4 linked regions of the Drosophila melanogaster genome follow. The gene in region 1 interacts genetically with each later gene. Each region holds a gene or a part of one and is shown in the gene's direction. Other genes may lie near its edges. The genes, in order: Cln3, Cat, Cisd2 and Sod1.

Region 1 (9,829 bases):
TTAATTGGTCACATTTAGAACTCAGTTACATGGGTCATACACAACCAACTCTAGCGATTTACGTAGATATAAAGTGCGATCAGACTCAGGATTTATTGGAGGAGGTTTGTTTAAATACGACGGGATAAATGCATTATTTCCAGATATTATTTACTTTCAGGCTAGTCGGGAGCAGATCTATAATCAGCATTACCATTGGCTCTTGGTTGGCAACCAGTCTAAATTGGAGTTTTATGATTTATTTGGATTATTTAACATATCCATTGATGCGGATGTAAGTTATGTGAAGGAGCAGATCCAGGATAACAACGACTCGGTTGCCTATGCAGTCCATGATGTCTACAATAATGGAAAAATTATTGGGGGTCAATTGAATGTAACTGGATCCCACGAAATGTCTTGTGATCCATTCGTATGTCGCAGGACTCGACATTTAAGTTCCTTGCAGAAGCGATCTAAATACGGAAATAGAGAACAACTTACGGATGTTGTCCTGAGAGGTAAGACATTATTGCATACATAAAACATTTAAGTTCTAGCTATTTCTTAGTGGCAACGGTTGTCACCCAACGTCCACTCACCTTGTCGGATGACGAACTTATTCGCTTTTTAAGCCAGGAGAACGATACCCACATTGACTCACTAGCTAGATTCGGGTTCCACCTGACCCTCATCCTGAGAGATCTTTTACACTGCAAGTAAGTTTTATGTAAAGTGGGAATTGTAGAGTTCATATTTTTTCCTTCAGAATGAAGTTCATCTTCTCGGATAGCTGGAGTAAATCGGATGTGGTAGGTGGTTCTGTGGGTGCTGTAGTGGACCAGACTGCTGATCTTACGGCCACGCCCTCTTTGGCCACTGAAGGCAGGCTTAAGTATTTGTCTGCCATTATTGAGACGGGATTTTTTCGTTCCGTTTGCATTTTCCGGACACCCCACAATGCGGGACTCCGGGGAGATGTTTTCCTGCAGCCCTTCAGTCCGTTGGTTTGGTATCTCTTCGGCGGAGTACTTTCGTTGATTGGTGTCCTCCTGTGGATCACCTTTTATATGGAGTGCAAGCGAATGCAAAAACGATGGCGCTTGGACTACCTACCCTCTTTGCTGAGCACTTTCCTGATCAGTTTTGGAGCAGCCTGCATCCAAAGTTCGTCCTTGATTCCACGATCCGCTGGAGGCAGACTAATTTACTTCGCCCTGTTCCTGATCAGCTTTATTATGTACAACTACTACACTTCCGTAGTCGTTTCATCTCTACTAAGCTCGCCCGTCAAGTCCAAGATAAAAACGATGCGGCAGCTGGCGGAGAGTTCCCTAACCGTGGGCTTGGAGCCACTTCCCTTCACCAAGAGCTACCTAAATGTTGGTTTCATTCCATTCCTAACCATTCTTAACTGCAAAGAGCTTTTTTAATTTCAGTACTCAAGACTACCGGAAATACACTTGTTCATAAAACGCAAAATCGAATCGCAGACCCAGAATCCTGAACTCTGGTTGCCCGCTGAGCAGGGTGTTTTAAGGGTCAGGGATAATCCTGGCTATGTCTACGTGTTCGAAACCTCTTCCGGATATGCATATGTGGAGCGGTACTTTACGGCTCAAGAGATTTGCGATTTGAACGAAGTTCTATTTCGACCCGAGCAGCTATTCTACACGCACTTACATCGCAACTCCACGTACAAGGAGCTCTTCAGACTTCGGTAAGCCCTTATGCTACTCTTCCAAAAGCAAGTATAACTAAATTTTATGCTATTCAAAAACATCTTAAATGTATTAAAATCGTATGTATTATTTTAGATTCCTTAGGATCCTGGAAACTGGTGTCTACCGGAAGCAGCGCAGCTACTGGGTGCACATGAAGCTGCACTGCGTGGCCCAGAACTTCGTCATCACCGTGGGAATGGAGTACGTGGCTCCTCTGCTCCTCATGCTGATCTGCGCCGACATCCTGGTCGTGGTAATCCTGCTGGTGGAACTGGCCTGGAAGCGCTTTTTCACGCGTCATCTCACCTTTCACCCGTAGTGCTTTAAAATCGCTTTAAGCTGCTGTAACAACTATATTCTATTTGCACCCAGGAGAAAATAAAAACACTTTGCGTTAACTTTTCGCATCGCAAAATTATGCAGGGCGACGCTTTCCTCACTTCCTGTTTTCGCGCCGGAAAATTGCAGCACGGCTCGTTAAACGGAGGGATGGATAAAGGGGTTTGCAAAGGACGTGGTGGCCATGTTTCCATGCGATTTTCGTATTTGCATTAAAAACTTTTCGTGTTTGGCGGTTACTTTTTATACTCCATTTTCCCTTTTGGCAATGATTTTATTCATTCTCTTGGAGCCATTTTATTTGCATTTTCGTGCACGGCCACATTCGAATTGAAACTTTGTTCCCCAATGCCACGTGCGAATGTTAGATAACTGATTGTGAGCCTAATACGGCCTATTAGAAACAGTTAACAGTTGTGTTTTTCGCATTTCCCCGAATTTCACCGGAATCAGTAGTTTCCCTACCGCAGACATCGCATGTTGCCCCGAGATGATTTATGGTATTTTAATGATGGCGCATCGCCAGAGGCGACAAATATGGGAAGGGACGTGTCAAAGCTTTATCGAAATTGATTGTACAATAAATAAGAGTGAGTTGAGTTCGCACAAATATTATTAAATTGGGTGTAGGAGCAAATAAATGGTATTATATGGCTGCTAATCAAATACGCAGTAAATTATATATTTTTTCAAGATTTTACATTTGCCTAAGTCAAGCAAATAGTATTAAGAACTTCGTTCTTAAATGACTCCCAGTCGACCATTAAAATGCAACTGACACAACTGCTTGCCAAACAGCACTCACTGGCATTCCGGAATTCCCAAAGTATTACTATAACAAATTGCCTTAACAATTTGTCAACTCAATCTGGCTGTCAACAGGGCATCGCTTTGGCCATAGTTTATGCCATGAAAGGACTACTTTCCCTTCGCAGGGAGGACAACTTTGGAGTGACTCGAAATTGACAAGCAATTGTGAATTATTTATTATTTACAACATCGAACACGGGTGTCCCTTTTTATCCCTAGCAGCCTTAACCACTTTATTTTGCAATTTGTCAACAACATGTTCTCTTTTTTAAATGCAATGTATAGCCCTGTGGCAAGTAAAAAGTGTTCCATGCTTTGCGGCTGCGGTGTGAAATTGGTTTTGGCGGTTTCCGTACGTGCTAAATGAGCGCGAAACGGATTTAATTTAAACGGAGCTATTGTGGATGGGAAAACGATACCCGAGAAATTTATTATGACCAAACTCTTGGCCGGTACGATTATTAGACTTAAGTGTACGGGAAAAGATAAAAAGGGGGAAGCGGGCTTATGGCCATCACCTCATCAGTTTGATTACCCTTTCTGTTCCCCAGAGCCTGTCATATACGAATTGCCATTGCCAGTGATATCTTAAGATTTATATGGCCCAATGCTGCGAACGTCTTATCTGTAATTTAATCTGCTGGCCACTTAACGATAATGATAATGTCGATTGCAACTGGTCCGGCTGTAATCTAGGCCCGTATTCGACGAGTCCTCAGTAGATTTTCATTGCTCGAGCGGATTGAGTGGCAGCCGGAAATAATTCGAAAGTGTACGTACGGCTGGTGTTTGGTATTCACTCGGGGGAGTAATGTTTATTGCATTTTACGCCGGATTTATGGCCGTAGAAAGTATCTCAGGGTTCCGTTTCAAATGAAATTGTTATAAAATTAGCCAGCATTTCCAGTTGAACGGGTAAATGTGATTTGCATAGCCGAACCGTTTGTCATCGAGTTAAATGACCTCCGTTTGGTTTACTGTGTAACTTTAAAAAAAAAAAAACAAGTGAATTTATCGATACTACTTTTTAAAATCTTTCTACTAGAAAACAGGTGTTTTTGAGCTTAGGAGCACTTTTCGGATTACGCATACGCCACGTGCGCCCGTTGAAAAACAATAAACTTAGAGGGAACGACCATTAGAGCTTACTTGATATTGGGCAGCACAAATTAAAGCTAACAGCGCTATCCGCAATTAAACTGCCTAACTTAAAGTTAAGCGTAATTAAAATAGCTATGACTTATTCAATAACAGGTGCTAATTACGAAAGCTAACACAAACACGAAGTTTGAAATACCCTCCAAAATACAGTTGCTAACTTGATCGTTTTCAATACATTAATCAAGAGCTAGCACATGCGTTCAAAAGTATTGGAAAATCTTTAAGAACCCTTCGTAGTGACACAATATCTTCATAATCTAATCTATACCAGTTCGACTATCGGATTGCTTGGGATCTTTGAATGCCAAAGACCGCTAGCCGATAAGCATTTCCCACCATAAAGAATCACAAGGTTCGCAGATTTTCCCCCATCGAGAAATTCGAACATCTTATCGCTATCTTCGCACTCTTGAGAAGAAGGGGTATTCTAAACCCAATGCGAATGCACTTGCCAACTCGAAAAACGTGACGTTCGCTGACCGACCTCAACTCCCCCGCTTTTGCCGCTCGAATCAAATCGAATCAAATCGAATTGAATTGAATTAAATGATACTATATATGTAATCTGTAATGTGTGCTACCTGCTAGCGATCTACGTACGATCAACCTGCTGATCGGCACTTTGGCACTTGCTGCATCTTTTAATTGTTTTAGTTTTTATGCTGCCGCTGGCAACTCGCGTGATACCTCATACTTGGGCTCCCAGCCGCTTGGCTCCATTGTAGTCGCCGCTTGTTATTGGTTCTCGTTCCGTTGGGAGGGTTCGCACAGGTTCAGTCACTCACCGATCGCCTCGAAGCGCGAATCGTCGTCGCCGTCGTATCCAACAGTTCTCGGAACCTTAGAACTACCAAGCCGAAAAATAGTGGCAAGATGTACGGTTGTACTTTATAGTGAACAAGAGCAGTTGAAGAACCCATTAGTGCTATGAAAAGTTATAAAGTGCAATAGAAAGTTAACTCTATGTAAACATTTTTACATTTGTTGTAAATTCAACCTTTTACATATTATATTACATAAAATGCGAAATTAAATATCAAAGGCTTAAAATTTCTTATGGAAAAAAAATTATTTTATCTATTAATTTACTGATTAAAAAGTTATATTTGAAAACGAAAATCCCTTTAAGCACTCTATGCTTCAGAATTTTTTTTTCAAGATATATGCAAGATCTAGCATTCTCAATTTACCAGTGATATTTCGAAATAAATTTTGAGTATCGGGTATCATATTTTTTGATAGCAAGCAAAAGTAACTGGATAGGAAAGTGCACTGCGAATTGGGTCAACAACTTCATAACTGCGCAAATGGATCAAGTGAATCTCTTGAATGAGTCAGTGGCCAACGAAGTGCAGGACGGCTAAAAAGCATTTGCCTGGTCTCTGAATTAATTAAATTAGTTAATTTGTTATAATTATTTTACAGTTAGCGTGCCTTTTCTTTGTTGGCTAACAGGGCTCGTGCTAACTGTTGATTACATTATTTGAATTGGTTTGGCTTGTTGCAAGGTTAACTTAAATGATCTGGATAATTAAAAGCTGCCAGTCAAGGGCGCTAATGAGAATTGGGAATATATGCATTGAACGGTCTAGATTATATTATCCCATCTGTTGTCCCCATTTCCTCTTCGATCTATTATCAGTCACAAGTTCTGTCGGATGTAAACAAATCAATTCATCTGCACTTTGCACCACCGAAAACATTGCCAAAAAACTGTGATATATATACGTACATCTATATATCCGGTAAAATCGCACATATGTAGTTTATTTCCCGCTACAGCTGAATGTTATCTAAAATCTTATTTATTTAAAACCTCCAAACATTGCAAATTAGCTAGTTATATAGCATAGTTAAATGCCTGAGAAATGTGTAAAGTAATAGTAATAGGCTACTTTATTACAAATTCAAATAGTAAAATAGGAAATACGTGTGCACCTCCCGTGAAAATATCCCGCAAGGCACTTAGCTATATAAATATGAGTCTTTTAACCCGTCAAACCCTGAGTCTGAACTAAACAGCTGTCTTTTCCTACCTTCAACACAATTTGTATATTTTTAAGCATTTATTGCACGTACTTTCCATATATTTTAGCGACTTCCCCTAGTGACCATATTATGTCAAGTTCAAGACTGCTTACGCACATGCTCGGCTTGGGAAATTAAACAATTTATTTAAATTCGACTCGAGCAGTAGTATTTGCTCAGCTTAGAAGAGTGAATAGCAGTTTCTTTTAAGAGTATAAATAGCTCATAGCTGGGAAAGAGAATTCAATTAATAGTTGGCCCATTCAAAGTAAATTAAGTAAGGTGATCATGAACTAAGGGTACGGCGCTGATTTGTTTCTTGGAACAAATAAATGTTGAACTAAAGCTACTAAAAGAAACTGTTATTATAAAAACGTGATATTGATTTCGTTGCCGTTTTGAAGTCTTAAAACCACCTTCGTTCACGCTTGACCAATTAAACAATTTGCGTAAATGCTAAAGCTTTTAAAAAGAGCAACATTAATTTTTTTAGAGACAAATAAGTTGTTGATTTCTTAGGAGAAACTAGATGAGTTTAGATTAGAGATAGTAAATGGTAAAAAAAGTTATGAAGTGAATCAAATAAATTTGTTGGATTTGCACTAAAAATATTAAACAAAAGGGTTTTTTAATTTTTGTTTAGCCGGCTCAATATGACGGCAACCAAGCAGCAAGAGGCTGAGGCCGAACATGATCCCCAAGTGGTGGTCACCCCTGGAGACGCCTCTCGCAGCTCTCGCCAAGATCGGGGTCTATGGCGGGATCTTACTTCCTACTGGATCCTCGGTCTGTGCAACAACTACGGATACGTGGTGATGCTGAGTGCTGCGCACGATATTATCAAGCAGTTTAATCCGGTAATTACAATAGGATTATAGCACTTTTAATACATTTATTAATTGTTCGCCTGCATAATTTTTTCTTTTTAGAATGATGAATCGGAAGAAAGCTCGTCGGGAAGAAACTGTCACTTGGTTTCAACAGGTGCCATCTTGCTGGCAGACGTGCTGCCCTCATTATTTGTCAAGATTCTAATGCCATTCTTTCCATTTTGGGTGAAGTGAGTACTATCTACAATATTAAATAAATTTGATTTGATGCATTAAACTTGATATGATACTAACACAAAATCGCATTTTATTTATTAGTTTCCGTATAGCTCTTGCCGTGGCCTTTTCTGCAGCTGGTTTCCTCCTGGTTGGATTCGCCAATGCCGAATGGATGGCTCTTTTGGGTGTCATCATCACTTCGGCTAGCAGCGGAATAGGAGAAACCACTTTCTTGGCCTATTCTTCGCGATACAATAAGTGAGTTGTCTGGTAAAAGTACTAAACAAAATATCATTAATTCCATATGTTTTTCTTAGGAATGTGATCTCCACTTGGTCGTCCGGAACTGGTGGCGCTGGAGTTATCGGATCCTTGAGCTATGCTAGCTTGAGATCCTTAGACTTCAGTCCCAGAGATACTATGCTGATTATGCTGATCTTCCCTGCGATCGAGGCCTTTGCATTCTGGTTGCTGCTTCGTCGTCCACAAGTTGATATATTGCCGGTTACCACGGTTGAGTCCACGGAAGTCCTGATCAGCGATGAGAAGCCATTAGTTGGGTTCAAGGAAAAGCTCTTCTATATCAAGCACCTCTTCAAATATATGTTGCCCCTTTGCCTGGTTTACTTCTTCGAATACTTCATCAATCAAGGATTGGTAATTTAGCTTTCTTTAATTCATACAAAAAAACATTCATTGTCATCCATTTTTCAGTTCGAACTGGTTTACTTTGAAGATATATTCCTGGACAAGGACTCGCAGTACCGCTGGCTAAATGTGGACTATCAGATCGGAGTCTTTATCTCGCGCTCCTCTGTCAATCTCTTCCAGCTGGACAAGATCTGGCTGATGTCCATCTTCCAGTTCGTCAACGTGGTATACTTCCTCACCGAGGTTATCTGGTGGTACACGCCTAGCATCTGGATCGTGTTCGCCATCGTCCTGTGGGAGGGACTTCTGGGCGGCGGTGCTTACGTGAACACCTTCTATCGGATGTCCAAGGAGATTTCGCCGGAGCGCCAGCAGTTCGCCATGGCCATGGTGGTACAGTCGGACTCCTATGGCATTGCTCTGGCCGGATTTCTGGCCATTCCCGTGCACAACGCCATCTGTGGTCTTCCGGCCGCGGCCAGAAGCCTTGTTTGGTGATACGGATCGAGGATCAGAATCAGGATCAGATTATGCCTTTACTGTGTGCGTGTTTAGCCAAATAAGCGTGTGTGTCTGTGCATGTCCCTATAGTATTAATCACTGGATCACTGGACATCCGGTAACCAGATAGATCGTTGTATAGTTAGTATGCTGCTGTTAGACTACTCTATAAGTTTAGTTTAATAAAAAAAAAAAATAAACACTACACTGTACATTCGATTTCATTTAATTTCAACGTACCCAGATGCAAGCACTTTTCCGAAAATGTTTTCCTTGGCAAAGTTTGGCTTTTTCGGCACAAAGTGCTCACGGCTAACCACTTTGATAAGCACACTGATCCCAGACAGAATGCGCCCCACTTGCTCTGAGTTTATTCAACTGTCTCCAACAAAAAGCCTCTTAAATTGTACGTATTTACACTACCTACACATTATAATTACTTAGATGGAGCTGCTCGGTTATTAAATAAACTTGTTGCTTGTGGCTTCTAATTCGGTTTGATCGGTTTCAAATCGAACGCCAAACGATCGGTTTGGCAGTGAGATGCCGGCTGAGACAGATTGGGAGATCGAGACCCAAACCGATTTGGGGCGAGATGTTACGTGGACCGCTCGCCGTTTCAGTTGATCGGTAGCTGCCGTGCAAGGCAGTCGAATATTACGCGATTGTCTAATACGTAAGTTGAGTAACCAAGATGCGGGGCTTATCAGCGTTTCTGCTTTTGCTCTGCCTCCAACGGGTGAAGTCGGACGAATCTGCTGCAGCACGGCGCCCCAACATAATCATCATTATGGCCGACGACATGGTGGGACTAGTTTCGCCGTCATAAATCAACCCATTTCTAAAGCAAACACTCTCTCAGGGCTTCGATGATGTGAGCTTTCGAGGCGGACGGGAGTTTCTAACTCCCAATATCGACGCCCTGGCCTATCACGGTCGTCTACTGGATCGGCTCTACGCTCCGGCAATGTGTACTCCATCTCGGGGAGCATTGCTCAGCGGCCGGTATCCAATACACACGGGTTAGTATCGATTACCTTTTGTATACCAGGGATTGTTATTATCAATGATTTGAATCAAACCCACACAATTCATATATTGATTACCGCAGGCACACAGCACTTTGTAATCAGCAACGAAGAGCCTTGGGCCCTGACCCTCAATGCCACATTGATGCCGGAGATCTTCAAGGAGGCAGGCTACTCCACCAACCTGGTGGGAAAATGGCATCTGGGCTTCTCGCGCCCGGAATACACGCCCACTCGGCGGGGATTCGATTACCACTTCGGCTATTGGGGCGCTTATATAGACTACTTCCAGAGACGATCCAAGATGCCGGTGGCCAACTATAGTCTGGGCTACGATTTCCGGCGGAACATGGAGTTGGAGTGCCGGGATCGTGGGGTTTATGTAACTGATTTGTTAACCGCCGAGGCGGAACGATTGATCAAAGACCATGCTGATAAGGAGCAACCCCTATTCCTGATGCTCAGCCACTTGGCTGCCCACACGGCCAACGAGGATGATCCTCTGCAAGCTCCCGAGGAAGAGATTCAAAAGTTTTCCTACATTAAGGATCCAAACCGA
Region 2 (10,394 bases), 1.0 Mb from region 1:
AATTCCAAATAAATAAAATTATTGTTGCTCAACGTTCATTGCCACACACACTCACACACGGCCAGACACTCACCAACACCAGCAGACAACGAGTCAGACACACACACATGCATACACTTTTTTTGGGGCAGCGTTTTTTGTTGTTTCAAGGCAACTTTATTTCTTGACTCTTTTTTTTGTATTTTCCTCCCCCGCAGGGAAACAAAGAAAATTTCACTTGTCTCGCACACTCACACCACGAAGCGCGCACACAGACACGGTGCCTTTCCCAAAGGAAATATTATTTAAAACATTTATTGACACAATTACAAGGTTTTTGCTTCTTTCGCTCGACGTTGTTATTGTTGTTGCTGTGGTTGTTGCCGCTTGCTTGCTTTTTTCTTGCTGTTGTTGTTGGCCTACTTTGTGTGTTGTTGCTGTATTTTTTCTCTCCTCTTTTTTTTGTTGCTCCAACTTCTCTCCTTTGCTTTGCTTGAAAAAATTTCACACGCGCCGTTTCTTTTTTTGTCTCTTCTCTTTACGTAAATTAGATTGCCATTTGAAGTTATCTTTCGAGGGATTGCACTTGGTATTAAGCTATATTATACATATACGTGTTGCACTACATTATATTTATAAAAATTATGTGTATTCGTTTGAAATTTTAATTGTGTTTTTATAAAAAGAAAATCAGACGAGACGAACGTATGAACAATGAATGACAAAAAATAACCTGGGTTTAATGGGCTAACATTTCGCGTCCAACAGCACGCTGAGTGCTGTTCGGCGAGCAGCTGATTTTGCAGTTTTCGGTATTTTCAGTATTAGTTGGTATAATTACAGTTTGATTTGAATGTGGTTTTAGGGTTTTAAAAAATGTGTTTTTAAACTCATTTTAATTGATACAACCAACAGAAGAAATACAGTCAATTTTCAAACTAACTGATATAACATAAGTATTTCATGAACATCGAACACGCCAATAATTAGATTATTGTCAATTTTAAACGAATAGTTTCTTCATATTAATTACTTAACTGGCATTACAATAAGCCACATTTAAATTGTGAGAAACTGTGACCATGTCAGTATGTTTTTAGATTTTATAACATTTAAAAAAATTGAATTTGTTTATTAGTTAAATGCATTTTATTTTACGCCTAATTTTGGTATATTTCAGCAATCCATATGTGGTCACACTATATGTTTCCAAAGTGGCGGGACAATTGGCTTCATGTTTCGTTTTGTTGCGTTTGGAAGTTAAAATGCCAGTGTAAGCATTGTTTTGTAAGCCCGAGTTGTGGAGAACTAGGTGCATGATCTATTCCAGATGGCCTCCATTGACGAGGGCTCGCGCGTTGAGCGGAGATTCTGCGCAGTCGGCAACCACACGCTGCGGAAGCCGTATCGCCAACTGAACAACAAATATTTGGTGCGCTTCGCCTGTTTGCTGAACAGCGAAATTCGGGCGGGCAACCTCATCTGCTGCAAGTGCTACACGGACCTGGTGCGACTCTACCGGAAGAAGAACGACAATGCCAAACGGCACAAGATGGCCAGGGAGACTGCCGCGAGCATTACGGACGTCAGCGGCAGTCAGTCATCGTCGCACCAAAGTGCGCCCTCTTTGCATGTCTCTGGCCAAAGTTCCGAATTCGGTGCCTCATACAGTGAGGGGGGCATTGTGACTCCCGATGAAGAGCTGTGCTCCCACAGAAGCTTAAGTCAAGATTCAGACAATGTGCCCACTACCAGCGCTGCAGCGATCCAAAAACGCCAGCTTGCGAGGGCAAACCTAATGGTGAAACCATCGCAGAGGCTGAGCTTGGCCCAGACTACTCCGGATTGCGACGACTACGACCCCAACTCGAATCTCAGTTTGAACGCCGTGAATGGCACGCGACTGCCGCACATTCAGCCGATTCCAAAGAGGCGCCCGACCGTCCTGGACAAGCAGTCCATGGATATTTACTTGATGGGAACCACAGGTGGTTAGGTGATTTTTTTAAGTTGTGACTAGAGAACAAGATACATATGCTAGTTGATGCTAGTTTCTAAGTTTCATTTAATTAGATATTTTTGTACGCTAAAATAAAGAAAGACAGAGATGTTAGCTTGGCAGGAGCCACAGAAAGATAGCCGCCATTTGGAGATTTCCTTGAAGTTTATAATTTTAACATGTTTAATGATATTTACATATATTATATGAATGAAGTACATTTATTTTAAAGGCACCACTGGAAGAGGTTCACAACTTAAGAAAAAAAGAGGCCATAGATATTTATTTGGCAGGAGCACCAATAGATAGCCGACTTAGTTTATAACTTAATGATGCCGACATTTTCATGAAATTAAAAAAATAAATAACTTAACAAACAGTTTAAATTTATTCACCTTTCTGGGCAGCAAATGGAGCGAAGGTACTATAAATTATCAATAATAAATCTTAATGGTGTTGGGACACGTTTTTAAATGGACAGTGCAAAAAAAAAACTTTGAAAATGAATTTCATACTATTTAAATACAAATATGAATAATAATGGATATTATGTAATATTTAAGCGATATATTTCCAACTATAATCGAAATATCGATATCTTCGGCCCACTCGACAACCCTGAGCAACAACAAGTACGTGGTGCTGGGCTATAAAAACAAATGGAACTGCGCTGCAGTTGCTTTAGTTGACAGAATTCTCGACGCAGTCACAGCAAAAAACCGAAGGCGGCTAGAAATCAACAACTTTCCAGTTCGAGTGTTTCTAAATTCTGGTTATCCCGTTGAGCAAATATCCTAAATTTTAAGCAAAATGGCTGGACGCGATGCGGCTTCCAATCAGTTGATTGACTACAAAAACTCCCAAACGGTGAGTGTGTTGGTGTGCGAGCGCGAGAGAGCGCAACTGCATGTGTGTGCGTGTGTGTGCCGGCAGGAAAATAAGAAAACAAGAAAGGCAAAAAAGACAAAAAGAGAAGGGAGAAGCATTGTACGAAATGAAATAAACAAAAAACAAGACAATTTCAGTAACGATTGCTATGAGCCTGTACTTTCCATTAATTCCATTAATTATTAAAATGCGAAAAACAACAAAGGCTTGTCCAACAAATGCCAGTAATGATGAAGTCGTTTCCCCAGAGTTCGAAGTTCAAAAGCCGCCTCTCTGGGTCTTCTATTTATTTGTAGAAATCTTATCAGAAGTGAACTGATAAACCTTATCAGTGTGGCAATTCTTATTGGATTTGTGTTTTCTGTACCTAATCCAAAGTTAATTTTATTTTCCCTTTTATTTTTATTTTCCTTCTTAAGGAAATCCAAAGTTTAGTCTAGCTAACCTATTTTCTAACCTTGGGCGACCTCTTACCTTAGTCTATTTTCATTTTTCAGCGCTGTTTTCACTTAGCACTTCCAATTTCATTTGGCACTTGCATTGTGCATTGGATTTGAGTATTCGAATTTGTTCGTTTGCACTTTTGTGTTAATTATTCGCTTTCGCTTTTGGTTTAGATTAAATGCATGATTTCAATTGTGGAATCGTGCCCTCTTAAAATTTTGAACAAATATTGTTTGTTCACACTCGGAAAATTGTACTTTCCTAAATTCGTGGCATTCCACAATTGCAACATTTTATACACTGCAATCATTTTTGAAATCAAATATGCTGTTACATTTTATAAAAAGGAATGAAATATAACAAAATCAATAGTAAGCCTCACCCATAGATACTGTATCTATATATAATTTACTCGGCAATTTCCCTGTGGTTTTCCCAATGCCCTCTAAAAATCGATAAATGAAATAATAATTCTGCATAGCTATTTGTCAGCCAGTTGATAGGCATCCAAAACAGCTAAGTAATTGGCCCAAATAGATTAGATGTATCAGCCGTATAGATATTGTTGAGTGCCCACATTTGGTTAGTAACTAAAGTAAATTTCCATTGGATTTCGATACTTTGTAAGTATGAATTGTCAGTTCTCAAAGAATACAATCATTTTTTGTTTTTTAATTTAGTATACCTTTTTTTTACCCTATTCAATTAAGGCTAAATCTAGAACTTAGTTCTCGCATCAGCGATTTAAGTGCATTTGTGCATTGAGTCACGAAGCCAATTACTCCACTAACTAAAAGCAATCAGCGGTCATTATTTTATATAAACAAATATAGATATGAACTTTTTGAGAAACGCGATCGCTGGATTGCACCGCTTGTAAGTTGGAAAATTCGTTGGGAGTCAATGGACTCTGCGGCGACCGGCTCAATGTTGCACAAACTGGTTGCAATGCGCATCGACTGCGAGTGATTCGAGTGACAACGAACCCGGCTTTAAACCCGTTTTGGGTTGAGTGCGGAAGGCTAGACCGCTTCGGAAAATGCGTGTGCCAGTGCCATAAGTCAACGCAAATTTTCTTTCTCCAATTTGGTTATGCAACCTGGCTGGAACGCCCGGCTAAAAGCGACTGTATGTGAGAATATGTTTCGAACTGACCCAGAAAAGAGAGCTAGCTCCACAGTTGGTTGGTTGGTTCGTGTTGTTTTAGTCGATTTTGACCTTCTATGACGAAACTGTGAAAACTGCATTCTGTCAGGCAATTAAATGTTTGCCTTTGTTTCGGTGAATAATCATGGCAACTGGGTTCTTTGTTCTTTTGGGAATCTCGCAATCGAGTTAATTTGTTATCCAAGAAATTCGAAAATGCAAGGAAAATACTTGGAATATTTTGCAACGCAATGCATATTGCGTAAGGTCATTGTGAGTCGGTTAAGAACCCTATAAAAATCCTTATTTAAAATCCTTTAGCTTATTTTCTATGCATTCTCATTCTCGAATGAGTAACCTTCTGCTGATAAATTATGTCTAGAAGGCAAATTTATCTCATACTATCAGGTGCACTGATCTTATAAAGCCGCCTCATTAAGTTGCTGTTTGCCATCTTTGTGTCATTGGCATCGCCAACAAGTTGCAATTAAAAACTTTCCTGTAGACTGTGTTCTTTGCATTTCTATTCGAGATCGGTTGCGGTTCTCTTATCAGTTTGCTCTTCGCTGGAGATATCTACAACCAAATACATACATACATATATAAGAACGAAGGCTCTGATAGGAACCAGATTGACTTGTTGGACGTGGATCGCAGTTCCAGCGGTTCCACTCGCATTGTCATTCCCGGTTTGCTTCACTTATCGTATCTGCCCCCTGAAGTGGCCCCATATTAATGTCTCAAAGTGCAAAACATTCCGGCTGAATCGGCCGAATCTAAAGGGTGACTCCAGTATAAATTCCAGAATGATAATTTCGAAATTATATTCATTTCTTCGTTTTTATGTAGCGCTTTTTGTTTGTCAATAAGTGGGTATACTACTGGCCTGTCTAAGCTGATTTTATTATTAAATAGATACATATATACTTCTAGGAACTAAGATTTGATAAAGTCAACTACTAATTCCTTAAACAATTGTAAAAGTCTTAGTGCCCAACCGGGTAATCCCAACCCAAGTGCTATATGTATCTAAATGACTTTGTTGTGAAATATAAACAGTAGCTTAATTTATATGTTTGACACACCACCACCACCACCACCGGTGGCTTCACTTTGATAAACAACCTTCTGTATAAAATTCTATATGCATTGTTCTAGAAATGCTTTCGAATTAGAATTTCGCATGGCGTTGTTCAGGTTTCAAATACATTAGCTAAACAGTGCGCATTGGCCGGTGACAGTTTTGCAAATTGTTGGCTGAGTTAATTTTATAATGAGTGGCTGGCCTGCATGCGAAATAAACGATAAGGTGATTAAGGAGCGGTCTCGGATTACTCTAGGGAAATGAATTGAAAACAAGGAGTATGATTAGATCGACTGATAAATGACAGGACAGCTGGTGGGCTAATTGATATTTCAGATGGACAATACACTTTTATTAGCTTAATGGAATGAAATAATTAATTGATCGCCAGCTAATAAACTGTGTAACATCATTTTGATGTTTGAATACTTTCATTTAATTGGTTTTTTCCTTGCACACGGATTTGATATCTTGACATGTTAATGCAAAAAACCCATACATCATCACTATATTAAGGCCTCAAGCTCTTAAGAACACCTGGGATCTCTTATTTTAAATTTATATGCACTGCAAAATGACCCCCCGTGTAGAGATAACGCTCTGCAATCTTTATGTTAATGTTTTTTTCTTTTGGTGAAAATCGAATGATTAAATGAAAGTCCGCGGGCCAAAAATGAATTATCGCAATAGGCCCGATAAGATTGTAAGACACTTGAACCAATATATTGTTGCTGAATGTTGCATAGCATTTTAAAATTAAAATACATTTGATTAAACTTGACTTTCATTTGCTTTTGCAGGTTTCTCCTGGTGCCATTACCACCGGCAATGGAGCACCCATTGGAATCAAGGATGCCTCCCAGACGGTTGGTCCGCGAGGACCTATCCTGCTGCAGGATGTGAACTTCCTGGATGAGATGTCGCACTTCGACAGGGAGCGGATTCCAGAGCGTGTCGTGCACGCCAAGGGAGCTGGTGCTTTTGGTTACTTTGAGGTGACCCATGACATCACCCAGTATTGTGCCGCCAAGATTTTCGACAAGGTCAAGAAGCGCACTCCACTGGCCGTGCGATTCTCCACCGTGGGTGGTGAGAGCGGATCTGCGGACACCGCCCGCGATCCTCGAGGATTTGCCGTCAAGTTCTACACTGAGGATGGCGTCTGGGATTTGGTTGGCAACAACACGCCGGTCTTCTTCATTCGCGACCCGATCCTATTCCCCAGCTTCATTCACACCCAGAAGCGCAACCCGCAGACGCATCTGAAGGATCCGGACATGTTCTGGGACTTCCTCACCCTGCGACCGGAGTCCGCTCACCAGGTGTGCATCCTGTTCAGCGATCGCGGCACCCCCGACGGTTACTGCCACATGAACGGCTATGGCTCGCACACCTTCAAATTGATCAACGCCAAGGGCGAGCCCATCTATGCCAAGTTCCACTTCAAGACGGACCAGGGCATCAAGAATCTGGACGTGAAGACCGCCGATCAGTTGGCTAGCACTGATCCGGATTACAGCATTCGCGATCTGTACAACAGGATCAAGACCTGCAAGTTCCCCAGTTGGACGATGTACATTCAGGTCATGACCTACGAGCAGGCCAAGAAGTTCAAGTACAACCCCTTCGATGTCACCAAGGTCTGGTCGCAGAAGGAGTACCCTCTGATTCCTGTGGGCAAAATGGTGCTGGATCGCAATCCCAAGAACTACTTTGCTGAGGTTCGTTTTTTTTTTTTGTTTCAAATAGATTCTTCTTCATTTGAGATTAATGCAATCAAAAGAAAGATAACTAATATGGTAATTTTCTGACCCTCAGGTGGAGCAGATCGCCTTCAGTCCCGCTCACCTGGTGCCCGGCGTTGAGCCCTCTCCGGACAAGATGCTGCATGGTCGTCTGTTCTCCTACTCGGACACCCATCGCCATCGCCTGGGACCGAACTACTTGCAGATCCCGGTGAACTGCCCGTACAAGGTGAAGATTGAGAACTTCCAGCGGGATGGAGCCATGAATGTGACGGACAACCAGGATGGTGCCCCCAACTACTTCCCCAACTCGTTCAACGGTCCCCAGGAATGCCCCAGGGCCAGGGCCTTGTCCTCCTGCTGTCCGGTGACTGGAGATGTCTACCGCTACAGCAGCGGCGACACCGAGGACAACTTCGGCCAGGTCACCGACTTCTGGGTGCATGTGCTCGACAAGTGCGCCAAGAAGCGTCTGGTGCAGAACATTGCCGGCCATTTGAGCAACGCCAGCCAGTTCTTGCAGGAGCGGGCCGTCAAGAACTTCACCCAGGTGCACGCCGATTTCGGTCGCATGCTGACCGAGGAACTCAACCTGGCCAAGTCCTCGAAGTTCTAAGCTGAGCGAGCGGATTCGACGGATCAGACTTGGTTTTTGGCCTTAATTACGATTAATCCAATGGAACTAATTATTCCAACACCAACACCACCACCACCAACACCACCCATTCCGAAATTGACTAAGAAAGGCGAACGCTTTTCGGATCTTTGGTTGCGGGCTTAAATTGATTTAACCACGAAATGTGTCTTGTCTTGTTTTGATATTCAAAATTGTTTAAGTCATAAACAAATTACACTTACAATGTATATGTATATGCAATGAATATATAATAAATTCTTTATTTTTTGATATAACTGTTTGGAGATTCTTTAATTTTTTGGGTCACTTATAGTCGAGCTCTTAATTCCCATTTAAATATTTCTTCGGTACCCTGAGAAATTACTACTTCGAATGATTGAACTTAATCTTAATCAAATTTGTTCCTATGAAATATACATCAATTTAATACTTTTTGTAATGATATTTTTATTACCATTATCTCCTATGAGTAAAATGTTTTATTTCTCCGTAATTTTGTAAAAATATGTATTTTATTTGATGAATTGAAATTTCAGCTACAAGTGTCCAGTAGATGTAAAACTGTGCCAGTGAGTCTTAAACCTTTTCAGTGAATCGCGCATCCCTAGCAGGGCGAGTTATCGATTAATTCGAGTTATCGTTATACGAAATGCATGGCGCGCTTTGAACATCAAACAAAATAAGTTATTGAAATAAACAAACGTATAGTATTATTGTCGTTTGAGCTTTTTATTATTTAATATTTTTTACAAACTATATAAAACATAAATCATCTGAAAATGTACACAGTATCATTTAAGCTTAGCCTACCGCTATTTGTGTGTTCATTTTGGTTCGCAATGAAGTATTGAGTGAGTTGTTCATTTAAAAATTTTTACAAGTTGAAAAACATGTATGAATATGTAAGTTCTCTCAGTCTAGTTATTTAAAATATTAGCAGGCCAGGGCTGCCATTGAACAAACTGTTCTAACTTTTCCAAATCTTTTCCATTTTTATGCTAAATGCAACAATTAAGTAACATTAATTTGTATTTAAATATTTAGCTGAGTGCGTAGACCAGGTGTTCAATTCCTGATTAACAGTATATTGCGATACGTTTTTTTTTTAACACATTTTTCTAAACAGTAGGTAATGCTTTTGTATCAAAACTTTTCGCAACTCTGAAATGCAAGTATACATAGTTAAATATTTTTCACATTTTTCGCTGTCAGCAAAGGCACTTTTCGTTTAAAATTCCCTAAATTTTCCTCAACTTTATCGCTGTGACGGGTATGTTAGTTATTTACACTAATTACTAACTATCTAGTGCGTCTTGTTTCCCAGTGCTGCCGCGGCATAAATCTGAGCCCATTCGGGGAACGAGTTAAGGTTCGGATAGACGACCAGGCCCCAGGTTTGGCAGAAAACAAACAGGGTGATGATGGTAATGATGGTCGGACCGATTCCAGCAATGGCCATGTCCTTCGTCCTAATGTTGGCATAGCCAGCAACCAAAGCGTTGGGCGGAGTACTAACCGGCAGGTGGAAGGCCATACTGCAGGCCAAGCCAGCGGGCAGGATCAGGTACAGAGGATGGATCTCAATGGCCAGGGACTGAAACAGAAATAAACTCATTTAGTACACAACGTTTCATACAAAATGCATTGCTTTAAACTCACCATCTCGGCCAGAACGGGAATAATAATGTTGGCAATCGCCACATTGGAGCTGAAGGCGGTCAGGAACACAGCCACCAGGATGACCACCAGTAAGAGGACAGAGTTGGGCAGAACCTTCAATCCAATCAGAGCATTGCCAATCAGCTTGGCCATGCCGCTCTGCTTGCTGCCTTCGGCCAAAGCGAAGCCACCGCCAAGCAGGAACACCAGACCCCATGGCACCTTGGTCTGGATGAACTTCCAGGTGATCAGCGATGGAGTGGGACCCGTGGGCACTGGACCACCGCGTCTGGTGCAGTAGCGTAGGAAAGCATAATTGGCGGGCAGCATGAAGCACATGACGACGACAAAAATAGTGGGCATAGAGTTACGAATGTCCCTGGAAAGAAGAGCATGTACTTAGGTTAAGTAAAAATATAACTCGCAAGATTAATTATGAGTAAGAGCTAAACTTTTTTGGTTTTCCCACATCTTAAACCATAAATGTTCAGAGAAATACTTGAAAAGTTCCTATAATTTATGTAATTGCTCATAATTCAATATGATTTATATTAACGTATTTCGAGTGTTCTAAACGAGAAATTAGCACGAATAAGATAAAAGGGACGGGTTTAACCAGGAAAACCAATAGAGTCGGGCTATTATTATAATAATATAAATATAATTATAATATTATATGTTATAAATATCAACTTACTTGGAATTCAGCAAATCGGCCCATCCCAAAAAGATGCCGGGCTTGCGGGTGAAGTACATCACAACCATAAAAATGAACAGAATCATCACTTGGATCTCGTGAATGGACATGGGACC
Region 3 (5,863 bases), on another chromosome or scaffold:
GAAGTGCTACCGCGGCAAGCCGCTGTGCGCCGTCGATCATGGCGAGTTCGGTGGCCCCGACTCCTGTGCCGCTCGTCTCTGCCAATGCGACCTGCGGCTTTCCAGGTGCCTCAAGAGGTACTACTGCCCACACCGACGCTCCATTTGCCACTCGTCCAGATCTCGACGCTTACAGAACCTAATATTCTTCGATTGATGTTTATTGTTAATGCATGTAGCATGTAAGTTCCAAAATGAAATGCATAAATGAATACGTGTGAAAAGTTAAGTGAGCCTAGTGATGCCTTTGGCTCTTTCGGGAGCCGCTCCTGGCCTTGCTTCCGCTCGATTTATCCGCTCGCAAGCTTCCCGTGTTGCTCACCGGCGTGGCCGTGATCCCTGCCTGCACGTCCGGCAATTGGGAGAACTCTTTGATCGCCTGACAGTCCTGCACGAACAAACGCGCCGTTTTGTGCTGAGCCGTGTGTGGTTTGTAGGCCACCAAAACGTTGTGGGCCATGAGCAGGACATCCCTGTGCAGCTCGCTCAAGCTGCGAATGAATCCCGAGTCGATGTTCCGCTTGATGGTGGGGAAATCCATGGGGCGTAGGCATAGATCCGCATGTCGCTGGGCGTGCTCGTCGTGGAAGGGACGCTTAAAGGGAGCCGCATGCTTGCTGTCCAGCAACATGGCATAAATGGACAGGAAGAGCTTCTTGGAGGCGGCTCGCGTTTCTCTCCGATCGTCGGTGTGCTCGCTGGAGGCGGGAGAATTGGGTATGCTGTCGATAACGGGCGTGGAGGAGCAGCGGCGACGTGTGGACCTAGCAGTGGAATGATCGCTGGCTGTTGTGGCGTCATCGTCCACCATTGGACTTTCGGACCGATCCCGATGCGGCAGTTTTCGTAGCAAAGGCGTTCGAGCTGGCGCCGACGGTGGCTGAGGTGTGCCACTCAGCTCCAGTTCCGACTTGGAGTCATCCAGAGCCAGCTTCAATGCCGGGGGCTTAGCTTTTGCACTCCTTGGATGGTCATCGTGCTTGCTGCTGTCCGTCAACGAAGACGACTCCTCGTCTGTGTCGTGCAGATCCACAGGAACCGGAGCGGACTGAGTGGTCGTCTTTTCTTGCATTGTTACTGGCTTTCCCGCTGTGTCCTTGCCTGACTTGCTTTGTGCTTCCCTAGTGGCTTGGTGATCTATTAGTTCCGGCTCGTCCGTGCTTCCTCCTGCCTTATTTTGTCCTTGGGAGCTACTTTCCTGTTCGGATTTGTCTTCCGCGGCATCCTCCTTCTTCGGAAGGGAATCAGTGGCCCCATCTTCCTCCATTTTCGTGGGTGGCGATCCTGCAGTATCCTCACTTGAAGTGCTGATAATGGTAATGGTCTCACCAATCTCCTCCACCGCCACCTCGCTGGTCAACGGCTCGGACTCTGCGTCCTCGGTGCCCCTAGTAGATTCACCACCGGACTGACCACGATCCTTACTCTCCTGGGAGGCCACGGCAGCCAGGGGTATATTGTCGTTGGAGTCATCGCTGGATCCAATTACTAGCTCCACAGATTTTGGTTTATCACTGGCTGGGGAACTTTTACTTTGCTCCCGCTTCAAAGCGTCCAGCTTGTCCTCAAAGTCAATAACTTCGGCTTTATCGTTTGATGGCGAGGCTACGACGTCATCCACATTTTTCAGAATCTCATCGTCAATGACACTGGCCATATCAATGTCGATGTCATCTATTATTTGATCAATGTTTTTGAAGACTTCCAGCAGCTGCGCTTCGTTGGGATCCGCCTCGTCGGAGTCTGCTGTGCCAGCTGCAGAAGAAGTGGCTTCGTCTACACCCTGCTCCTGGTTTCCTGACCCCTCTGGCTTTACCAAGCTTCCGCTTTCGTTGGCCTTCGCCGCAGCCATGTTCTTCTCTAGCAGCATGGAGAGTGTGGGTGCCGCCTGCGAGGGACTCCGTTCGAGTGTGGGCGTAGTAGAAGCCTCACTGGCCGGAGGTCCGGTAATAGGTCGGGACATAAACGCCGCATCTGTGGGGCTCTTCATGGTGATGACTGGCTGATTGGCAACAGCTGAGCTTGGACCGCTGGTCAGCAGCGAGGTGATGGTTGGCGCCGTAGCCCTGGCCACGCTGCCAGTTCCTCCGGCTGCTGGTGCAGCTCCTCCTGGGGTGGGCGTTGCAGGTGCATTGCCTGTGGGCGATTTCAGGAGAGATGTGAGTAGAGGCGAAGGACCCGTCTGCTGTTTGCCATTGCCACTGGTGTTTATGTCCTCCACGTCCATATCGACGGAAGTCGTGTCGGCAGCTTGGTTGGAACGCTTGACGGCTAGACTGCTGTTTCGCCAGTTGCTGGCCAGGTCCTTCTTGCGCTGCTCGCGCTCCCGCATGCGATTCTCCAGCTTCATCTCCTCGATGCGGCGCGCCTCCTGCTCCTTCTCGATCTCCAGCCACATGTCCTGCAGCTCCTGCTCGGTCACCGCGTCCGATTGCAGCGACTCAATCTCCCGCTGGATGCGTCGGTAAGTCTCCTGATCCTGACGCATCTGCGCCTTGATCTCCGCCTGACGCTCCTCCGTGAGCCGACGGAGCAGCAATTCTGTGGGCGTCTCCACGGTGGCCGGCGAGGAGACGCCGGCACTGCTTTCGCTGCTGCGCTTCTTGCGCTTGGTGGCCTCCACGCTCTCCAGCAGATTGCCGTACTGCATGGCACAGTTCTTCTGCGAGAACCAGTCCGCCGGTCGGTTACTGCTGCCATTGCCGCAGATCGTCTTCAGCGTGCGGCTCACCGTGATCCAGTTCTGGTCGCCGCTGCAGGAGACCGCCGACGCCAGGATGAGCTGCTCCCGCTTCGACCACGTGTCCAGCGGCATGCGGCTCAGTTGCAGGCGCTCTTGTACCCCGGCAGACATTCTAAACTGCAATTTATTGATTTCAATCAATAATTCGTAAACAAAACAGAATGCTATCGATGACTACACACGAATCTGTAATACTGCCTATCGTCGAAAATGCAGTGTGACCCTAGCACTGCGATACCGATAGGACTGGCTTATCGATTTGCTAGCACCGCTAACCGATAGCAACACAAAAACAAGTTTTCCGAATTTAATAGCCAGTTAAATAAAAAAGGCGTTTCGAAATGGAGCCCATATCACATCTGGTGAAGTCCTCGCTGCCCAATTACTTGTCAAGTCTGCCGGTTCCCGACAGCATCGGCGGCTGGTTTAAGCTCTCCTGTAAGTTTGGGCAATGAGCGTGGTTTTGCCCATTGGAATTTGATTTGCCTTCAAAGGGCGCCCCACATAAACCCAAATCCACGATAATGACGCAGCATCTAGGGGGGCCAACTAAATGGACTACTAAGGTGCAAATGTGGCGTGATATTGCGGAGCTGCTAACGGGAATTGGAAGTGCAGTGTGTGCACTTCCAGGCAAAAAAGTTGCAGCGATTATGCAACAACTGCTGAGCTCGCCAAGAAATTTATAATTGGAGCAAGTTTGTCTCGCAGATAGGCAACTAGATAGACGCATAATACAGGCATACCAACATGGGTATACCTATAAACATATATGCGCATATCTTGGTGCGTTTATAACCCAATATGTGTGTAGGGAACGACCTTGTGCCGGTTACGGCTGATCGACCAAAATATCTAGTTATAAAGCTTAAAATGCACTGCATTCCGTATTAACCTGGTTTCGTTTGCAGTCAAGGATTGGTTGGCCCTGATCCCACCCACCGTGGTGGTGGCCGGACTCGGCTACACCGCCTACCTGGCCTACTGTCCGGCGGCACGGGCCAGCTGCGCGGCCAAAAACAGCGGACGCTGCAACAACCACATCCGCAAGAACGAGCCCAAGGTGGTGGACATGATCGACGTGGAGGATATTGCGGAGAAGGCGGCCTTCTGTCGCTGCTGGAAGACCAAGAACGTGAGTGCATTCTAACCTCTGAAATATTGTGAACAAAATTTTCAATTGAATCCTCTATTCGCAGTGGCCCTACTGCGATGGCAGTCATGGCGAGCACAACAAGCAGACTGGAGACAACGTCGGACCAATTGTCATCAAGAAGTAGATTGCGGCGGTGCATCGATACACAAACGTTCTAGCATTTCCTCTCGCTGAGCTCCAGTTTGCTTTTAAAACCAATAGTAGTGGCCGAAGCTGTTTGAACCCTTGTAATTGTAAGCAATAATTGATGATATTGATGGATTAAGTTAAAAGGAGCCAATAAAATTGCCCAAACATAAATTCAAATCGATATGCTTAATTCTAATTACTAATAAATGCCAGACCTAACCTTTACCAACAACCAAATAAACCACACACACACATACACACACGTGTGAGAGAAAACCGTGCTGTTATTAATAGAAAACCTTTTATTTTTTATAAATATTTTCTGACTGCAGGCGGCTGTTCCGTTGACAATATCATGCTGTGTTATGCTTAGGCGGTTACAAACAAATTCTCCAGTACAAAATGCAGGAGGCGAGACACACGATTCCGCCAAACGTGGGAGGCAGCACGACAGATATTGGATATCTTTAGTGTACTTATCAGTTGGAACTTAAGAAATGGGCATTGTGCTCTTCCTGCATTTTAAATCTCAAACTTTATTGTTACTGCTGCTGTTGTTGTTGTTGGTCTAAATGAGGGCGGCTGCTGCTTTGAGCGGAGCTGGGCTAGGCAGAGATGATTACTTGAAGATCTTGCCCTGGTTGAACTTGCGACCGTCCTTGTCGGTGCCGGACCAGGAGAAGTACTGGGTGACCAGCTTCTTGGTCTCCTCGCTCTTGGCGTCGAGCTTCTTCCAGTCGTAGACCTCGTAGTCGATCTGCCAGTCGGGGGAGAGCGTGAAGGCCAGATCCTGTCCGCGCCACACCCAGATACCGGAGATGGTGCTGTTGCCGTCCTCGCCGAACAGGCAAACGGAGGCGAAGGCCGCCTTGCGCATCTTGTCCAGACGCTGGAACATGCCGGTGATGAGATTGCACGACATGAACACCTTGGACAGCTCCTCGTTGTATTTGTACTCGCCAAACCAGATCGAGTAGTTCTCGGCATCGAACTTATCGAAGAAGTAGGGAATGGACTTGGCCTCGTCCTCGTTGGAGTACACGCGCTTGAAGTCATCGAAGTTGAAGGTGCCCTTGGGCAGCGCATCGAAGGGGTCCTTGGACTTGGGCTCGGCGGCCAGGGCCTCATCGGCGGCGTCCAACTCCTCGGCGGGCTCGGCAGCCTTCTTGGGCGCCTCCTTCTTTTCCTTGGGCTTCTTCTCCTGCTTCTGCTGCTGAGCCTGCTGCTGGGGCTTGGCGGCTCCGGTCTTGGCCTGGAACTCGGCGTACTTCTTGGGGTCGAAGACCAGGGCCTTCTCGCACAGCTTGTAGTCCTTGACGACGGCCTGGACCTGCTTCTGGTTGAGGATGGTGACGAACCAGCGGTTCACGTTGCCGAAGGCACTGCGCACACTGGGCTCCAGGACGTACTCGTACAGGTGGAGCAGACTGCTGAAGACCACAATGTCGGCCAATGTGATCCTCTCGCCGGCCAGGAAGGTGGCGTCCTGCAGCTTCTGGTTGAGCTGCTGCAGCACAGCCTCGGCCTCTTGCTTGGCAGTGCTGTTCTTCTGCTGCGGCAGAATGCCCAGCAGGGGGAAGACCCAGGCACAGGAGGCAGGCACAATCTCGTTGTCGGCGAAGGAGATCCACTGCTGGACCTGGGCCTGCACGAAGGGGCACTTTCCGCCGCGCAGCTGCTCGTTGGCCAGCAGGTAGGCGATGGCATTGGACTCGCTCAAGTACTGTCCTTCGGCGGTCTCAAAGGCGGGCACCTACGGGCACATATCGTGTTGATGACCTGGCACTAGCCACACC
Region 4 (6,131 bases), 6.7 Mb from region 1:
CAATCAAAGCTCTGGAGTGGCCACACCACAGACGCATGTGGAAGGAAGCGCAGCGAGCGGCGGCGGCGGAGGCGGCGGGGTTGGAGCTCTGCTTGCGCTAAAGAGGAACCATGTGATGGGCGGCGGGGCATCGCAGCATACGCTGCATCAGCAGCAGGCCGTGGCCCAGCAACAGCATTCAGAGATTATCTACGAGGAGTTGCCGACCGACTACAGCGGCCACATTGAGGCCAGCGAGGAGGAGTGCGTCACCACTGCCACCGATGCCACCGTGGCCAAGCGACCCAAGTATGTGTCGGAAGTGCTCTGATGCGTGCGGATCCAGAAGCACCGGCAGAACAAGGGCAAATAGTGAGGCCCATGGGTGTAAACGATTAGAAAGCAAAAACAAAAAAGTATCTCCATCTTGTATATTGAATTTGCCAATCAAAAACCTATACCTAAACCCCGAAATACAAATCAAATTAAATAGCCACACACGCAGAACTTAAGGAACATGAACGCACGCGAAGAGCAATGTATATGTAAATTGATATGGAACATTTTACAAATAGCAACTGTGAGATGATTGTGTTTGAAATGTTGGCCATGCAGCCGTTCAACGGCGGCGACTTATGCAAGCACACATTTTGAAAATTCGAAAACCCGATTCGAAGTAACGACTTTATCCCCTAGATCTGACGAATTCAATATGCTCGATGACGCTACTCTCTAAGTAATATAATAAATTTTAAGTTTACAACAAGGTAAAGCAGCAAACAAAGCAAAATTATCTAGATATATGCGATTGATTATTGTAATGATTGATGATTATGATGTTTAAGATGTTATAGCTATGTGACCGAATTGTGCGAGAAACGTGAAAAAAAATTTGGGGAAAATTAAGTAACAAGCAAGCAAACCACACAAGTAACAAACAAACAAACAAACAGGCGAATGAATAATATTACCTATCTACATACCTTTACCTATATCGATTTAAATATAATATATATATATATGTGTATATATATATATGTATATCTATATTAATATATATACAAATTATTAAAATACAAACAAAAACAAAAATGATGAAAATAAATAAGTAATATCTACAAATTTACGGATACAATAACAATATATAAAGATTGAAATGATAGCACATTATTTCTTATTAATGAAGAAAATCCCATTTAAGTGTTTGGACAAATTGTGTATTAAAAAAAAAAACAAAAATCAAATGTAAACTTTCTTGTTTCAATTTGTTAATATTTACCTGCTTTAATTGAATTAGATAGATGAATGAATACTAGTTGATACTAGTCAACAGGAGCGCAATCAAGTCTGGGCATTTATTGGGGAATTCCTGGATTCGTTTTTTATTTATACAAAACAAAGTAAATTGAATAGTTCCCGCCACTGTCATTGGAATAAATGGAAGGCTTCCAAGTGAACCACCCGTTCGTTGAACAGCTCAAAAAATTCAACGCCATTTGTGCAGTAAAATTGTTCCGTTTTCAAATTTTGTAATTTGTAGCTTTTATCCTTAAAAATGTAAATAAATGTCCCAATAAAACATGAGCTTGAAATATTACAAAGAAAAAATGCTTCCAGTAACGGCATAATAGTGTGAACGAAACTTTTGCACAACTGAACACTAACAGTAAAAGTTCCGCATGTATTTCTAAGCTGCTCTGCTACGGTCACACCATAGAAGATACCTGGAAAGTTCTCAACTTTTTTCGTTTTGATAAATTGATTAATTCATTCGAAATGGTGGTTAAAGCTGTCTGCGTAATTAACGGCGATGCCAAGGGCACGGTTTTCTTCGAACAGGAGGTGAGAATCCAAAATCATTTGAACTTCTCTGCTCGGCAAAATGTACGAAAAACAGAAGTTCTAAAGGTCAAATAGCCGGCTGCACCCGCGGCCCCCTCTTCCACTTCAATATGCTGCTTTAAATTCTGTCGAGCATTTTAATTAAGTCCGATTTGAGTTTACGCCTAGTCACCCAGCAAGTGCACCTTTATATTTATATAAGCCGCACCAAAATGCGCATATGTGTGTGCGCTCAAGTGCCTACAGCAAAGGTCACGAAATTGGTACTGGACATAAAAAGGAGTTAAGATATAAAGCTCACTTGTTCGTAAAGTATCGTTAAATATCAACAAATATTTGTTTTAGAATAAGCATTAGGAATATGGGAATAATTAGAATGATGCTGTTCATAATTAATTTGTACATCAAAGTCAAAGCAGCAATGTCAAGTGTCAAGTAAACGATTATAAACTTGATGATTACAGGTTATGTTTCAGTGCCGAGGAAATTTATGTTTTTAATCTATAAAGATAACCAAATGTTTACTTTGCTGCCTATAAATATTTCCGTTTAACGTGTGTCTATTAACAAATGTTATTTTCTATAATAACCTATTATCATATGAAGTTGGCCACGCTCGTTATCATAATCAGTGCTTCTGCTCACTATTATACACAACTTGTGTCTTATCAGTATTCGAGTATTATCTGAAGCGTTATAACCCAATCCCTTCATCCCGTCCACAGAGCAGCGGTACGCCCGTGAAGGTCTCCGGTGAGGTGTGCGGCCTGGCCAAGGGTCTGCACGGATTCCACGTGCACGAGTTCGGTGACAACACCAATGGCTGCATGTCGTCCGGACCGCACTTCAATCCGTATGGCAAGGAGCATGGCGCTCCCGTCGACGAGAATCGTCACCTGGGCGATCTGGGCAACATTGAGGCCACCGGCGACTGCCCCACCAAGGTCAACATCACCGACTCCAAGATTACGCTCTTCGGCGCCGACAGCATCATCGGACGCACCGTTGTCGTGCACGCCGATGCCGATGATCTTGGCCAGGGTGGACACGAGCTGAGCAAGTCAACGGGCAACGCTGGTGCCCGCATCGGGTGCGGCGTTATTGGCATTGCCAAGGTCTAAGCGATAATCTATTCCGATGTCGGCCACTGTGCTGATCTACTCTATTTAGCACTACCCACTGGAGATATACAAACGATATACATACTTCTAAACATAAATACATAGCCTGTGGTCTGTTAGTTGATACGCAACCTTTGAGGTTCAATAAATTGGTGTTTTGAAATTGCCCCATAAACAAAAGTTATAGTTTTCATTTGAGTTGAGATGGTAAGAATGAATATATCACTTGTTGCTCGACGAATTCGCAAGTAGAATCGGGTTATAGATTCGTATGAAATGAATTACATATTAGATGAGTGCAGAACCCAAAAATCACGATGAGACACACATTCGTTCATGTTTTGATAACATATCTCCGTTTTAGATTATTTATTTATTTTTGTAATTACTTTGGTTACTCTCCGGGCAGCCTGGTTAAAAGTCTTTAAAACACACTTTATAAACAATGAGTTAGGTAGTATTATTTACAAAAAATATTGTAAATCAAGATACTCGCCACATGAGTAGAAACTAATATTAATTTCGTGTGCGGTATAAATTCACTACAAAAGAACAAAGTCATATACTACGACGGGGATTTAAATGAACCTAGGTCTTGTTGAAATATGATTGGTAGACAATGCCCAGCGATGAAGTGGCGAATAGGGTGAAGTAGCTCCACCAGGTGGCAAAGCCCAGGAAACCCTTGTACACCTCCGTGGAGAAAACCTGAAAAAGAAATTATGATTAAAACTGGCATTGACGTGCACAGCAAGGATTCTTACGTTTTTCAGGCTGCTAAACGAAGCCTGCAGCGATTGCGCCGACTCAATAATATTAAAGTCACCATCTCCTTGGGAAACGGCAACACCAGCTCCTTCCGTTTCGCTAGCCGCACACTCGTGCTGCAGGACAACGCTCTCGCGGAAAATACCCGACCAGCTAAAGCCGCCCAGACTTTTGTACATAAGTGTGAGATAAAGGCATAGGATCAGTGGGGCAGCAAATTGCAGCGTCACAACACATAGATAGTAGAAAATAGACGAGATCTGTAAAAGGGAAAGGAGGATTTACTCGATGAACGTTTGTATAAAATAAAGACTGCCTCCACCTTCTGCTTGAACTCTACGTTGGTGATCCGACCGGCCTCCTTGCGCAGATCCATGATCTTGTCGTGGGCCAGATTCAGGTACGATTGCAGATATATGGGCATCAAGGCGAAACGAACCACCACCACAAAGATCACTAGCAGCAGGCGAAGTGTCTCAAAAACGTGTGGCTTCAGTCTGCAAAAATAATCGGGATGAACTTGTTAATTAGTAAAAACTAATTTAATGTGAGTAGGTTAACTCACAGTGGCTGTTGCATTCCTTGGAAGACGCGCACCGTCAGGTAATCGCGGCTAATGGGCCGAATCCACAGGATGACCAGAATAAAGGGCAGCACAAAGCTGAGATTCAGGAGCACTTGCAGCAACCGGTTGCCGCGACAGTACTTCAACGAATCCCAGTGCATCTTGGCCATCCGCAAGCCGGGGAAGGTGAACAATGAGCCGAGCAGGCCGCAACCCATGGCCAAAAAGAACTTGACCACGATCTTGGAGGCGGGACCACTGAAAAAATAAGAATAAGAGTGTAAATAAATAGAGATACGCGAAACAGGGGCGAACTCACGATGATGGCAGGCCCTGCTCGGTGAGGAACTTGGAAGCGCTGGCATTAAAGCTCGCATAGGCATCCTCCAGTCCCGTCTCCAGAATGCGCTCGTCAACGATCAGCACGACCATGGCCACCAGCAGGTAAACCAAACAGGCAACAATCACCATCGACCTCTCGCCGATGGACTCCTCGCTCTGGAAGTAGAGCACCGTAAGCGAGGACAGCAGCTTCAGGGCAAAGAAGATGACCAGCAGGCACCACACCATGCTCAAGTTGACCTCGTGGCGCAGCGGGTAGTAGAAGTGGAACAGCTGTGGAGGGGAATCCAAAATTAGTAAGTTATGGTATGCATTCCTAGAACTAGGATCACAGTAGTCGGATTTTCAGGCGAACAACCCGAGCTTTACCCACCTCGGAGACCACGTAGACGATCCCCGTGTAGACACTGAAGTCCAGCAGCCATTGATATTCGGTGAAGTAGCGCAGGTGGACAACATCCCGTTCCAACACCGGTGACGTCAACAGCTCCACCTCAATGCTGCGCGGTATGTGGAATTGTGCACCCGCCGCTCCTCCTGAACCATTTGCCTGCTTATTTCGACCACCTTTTGGTGGCTTCTCCTTGGGCACACCGCCGCGGGACCGCAGCTCATCGTCCGTGGGATGCAGGTATCGATAGAGTCCGGTGCGGCACAGAATCCACTTGGCGAAGGAGTAGTGTGGACTCAACTTCTGGATAACGCTGACCATCACCAAGGTGATGACCAATTGGGCGCCCAGCACAGCCTGCAATGGTTTCGAGAGACAGCTTATTAGAAGACATTTGGGAGCACATGTAGTGGCTATTTTTGGGTCACTGCGCTACGGTCTATTTTTGGTCCATTATTACGGCGGACTTTTCATTTTTCCGGGCAAGCCGGTTGGCCAGTTGTACCCAATTAAAAGTCCAGTTTTCCGTCATGTCCACTCATCTTACCATCGCTTTCTATTGCCGTGGAGCCGAGAAAATGTGTGAAGTTACAGCTTGTGCTAATTCCAGCGTTAATTAATTCATCATTGTTAATTAAAAACGGAAATCTCGAACAATTTTCGTTGAAAATTTTCTTTTGTGCGGGCAGTGTGACCGTTTTTGCTTGCTGAAAAACGTCGAAATAAAATATGGCACACTTTTCGCGAATCAGATTAGCGGTTTTTTTAAATCTGGAAATGTTCAATTTAACCTAATTTCACTGTTTTTGTTTTGTGAGTTTTTCAATTAAATGTTTTAACAACATTCCTTTGACTTTAGTTTCCTAAATAAAACTATTTAGCTATATCCAAATTCCTGTGAAATCTGAAAAATGTCGCATGGGAATAAGCAAAATTTCACCAAGATCTGGGATCTTGGAAAGTGGGAATCGCGGGATATAAAGCATTACAGCACAATATCGCGAATCCAAAAACAACTACGTCTCGGAAACTGGGAATATCTCTGTCAGCATCCAGAGGTATTGATGCGATTCAAATTTTCAAGCCTACCGATTCAGTCAATCGCCTTTTTTTGTTTCAGATA

The links.
Region 2: of Cln3 (region 1) and Cat, changing one suppresses a phenotype caused by changing the other (phenotypic suppression), as found in Drosophila melanogaster (one study listed by BioGRID).
Region 3: of Cln3 (region 1) and Cisd2, changing one enhances a phenotype caused by changing the other (phenotypic enhancement), as found in Drosophila melanogaster (one study listed by BioGRID).
Region 4: of Cln3 (region 1) and Sod1, changing one suppresses a phenotype caused by changing the other (phenotypic suppression), as found in Drosophila melanogaster (one study listed by BioGRID).

The regions. Positions count from the first base shown.
Region 1 is NT_037436.4:17,807,855-17,817,683, reverse strand, and holds Cln3 (Cln3), read left to right. Parts: upstream 1-3,564; 5' UTR 3,565-3,624; intron 3,625-4,792; exon of another isoform or gene 4,793-4,888; intron 4,889-6,684; 5' UTR 6,685-6,694; coding exon 6,695-6,898; intron 6,899-6,970; coding exon 6,971-7,101; intron 7,102-7,189; coding exon 7,190-7,348; intron 7,349-7,407; coding exon 7,408-7,747; intron 7,748-7,804; coding exon 7,805-8,239; 3' UTR 8,240-8,453; downstream 8,454-9,829. Other genes in the region: Ir75a (ionotropic receptor 75a), read left to right, coding at 1-104, 161-500, 551-698, 749-1,361, 1,419-1,699, 1,797-2,022; CG32191 (uncharacterized protein), read left to right, coding at 8,937-9,047, 9,105-9,264, 9,354-9,829.
Region 2 is NT_037436.4:18,819,998-18,830,391, forward strand, and holds Cat (catalase), read left to right. Parts: upstream 1-2,606; 5' UTR 2,607-2,788; coding exon 2,789-2,845; intron 2,846-6,340; coding exon 6,341-7,261; intron 7,262-7,358; coding exon 7,359-7,901; 3' UTR 7,902-8,191; downstream 8,192-10,394. Other genes in the region: HipHop (HP1-HOAP-interacting protein), read left to right, coding at 1,310-1,975; Indy (I'm not dead yet), read right to left, coding at 9,226-9,516, 9,582-9,960, 10,279-10,394. UniProt on the Drosophila melanogaster protein: Catalyzes the degradation of hydrogen peroxide (H(2)O(2)) generated by peroxisomal oxidases to water and oxygen, thereby protecting cells from the toxic effects of hydrogen peroxide.
Region 3 is NT_033777.3:29,220,600-29,226,462, reverse strand, and holds Cisd2 (CDGSH iron sulfur domain 2), read left to right. Parts: upstream 1-3,034; 5' UTR 3,035-3,123; coding exon 3,124-3,220; intron 3,221-3,693; coding exon 3,694-3,917; intron 3,918-3,981; coding exon 3,982-4,062; 3' UTR 4,063-4,246; downstream 4,247-5,863. Other genes in the region: CG14507 (uncharacterized protein), read left to right, coding at 1-196; Brd8 (bromodomain containing 8), read right to left, coding at 275-2,893; eEF1gamma (eukaryotic translation elongation factor 1 gamma), read right to left, coding at 4,687-5,820.
Region 4 is NT_037436.4:11,109,264-11,115,394, reverse strand, and holds Sod1 (superoxide dismutase 1), read left to right. Parts: upstream 1-1,654; 5' UTR 1,655-1,755; coding exon 1,756-1,821; intron 1,822-2,546; coding exon 2,547-2,942; 3' UTR 2,943-3,114; downstream 3,115-6,131. Other genes in the region: FoxK (forkhead box K), read left to right, coding at 1-310; emei, read right to left, coding at 3,531-3,650, 3,707-3,970, 4,033-4,207, 4,276-4,533, 4,595-4,890, 4,991-5,365, 5,556-5,558; CG34012 (uncharacterized protein), read left to right, coding at 5,920-6,066, 6,129-6,131. UniProt on the Drosophila melanogaster protein: Destroys radicals which are normally produced within the cells and which are toxic to biological systems.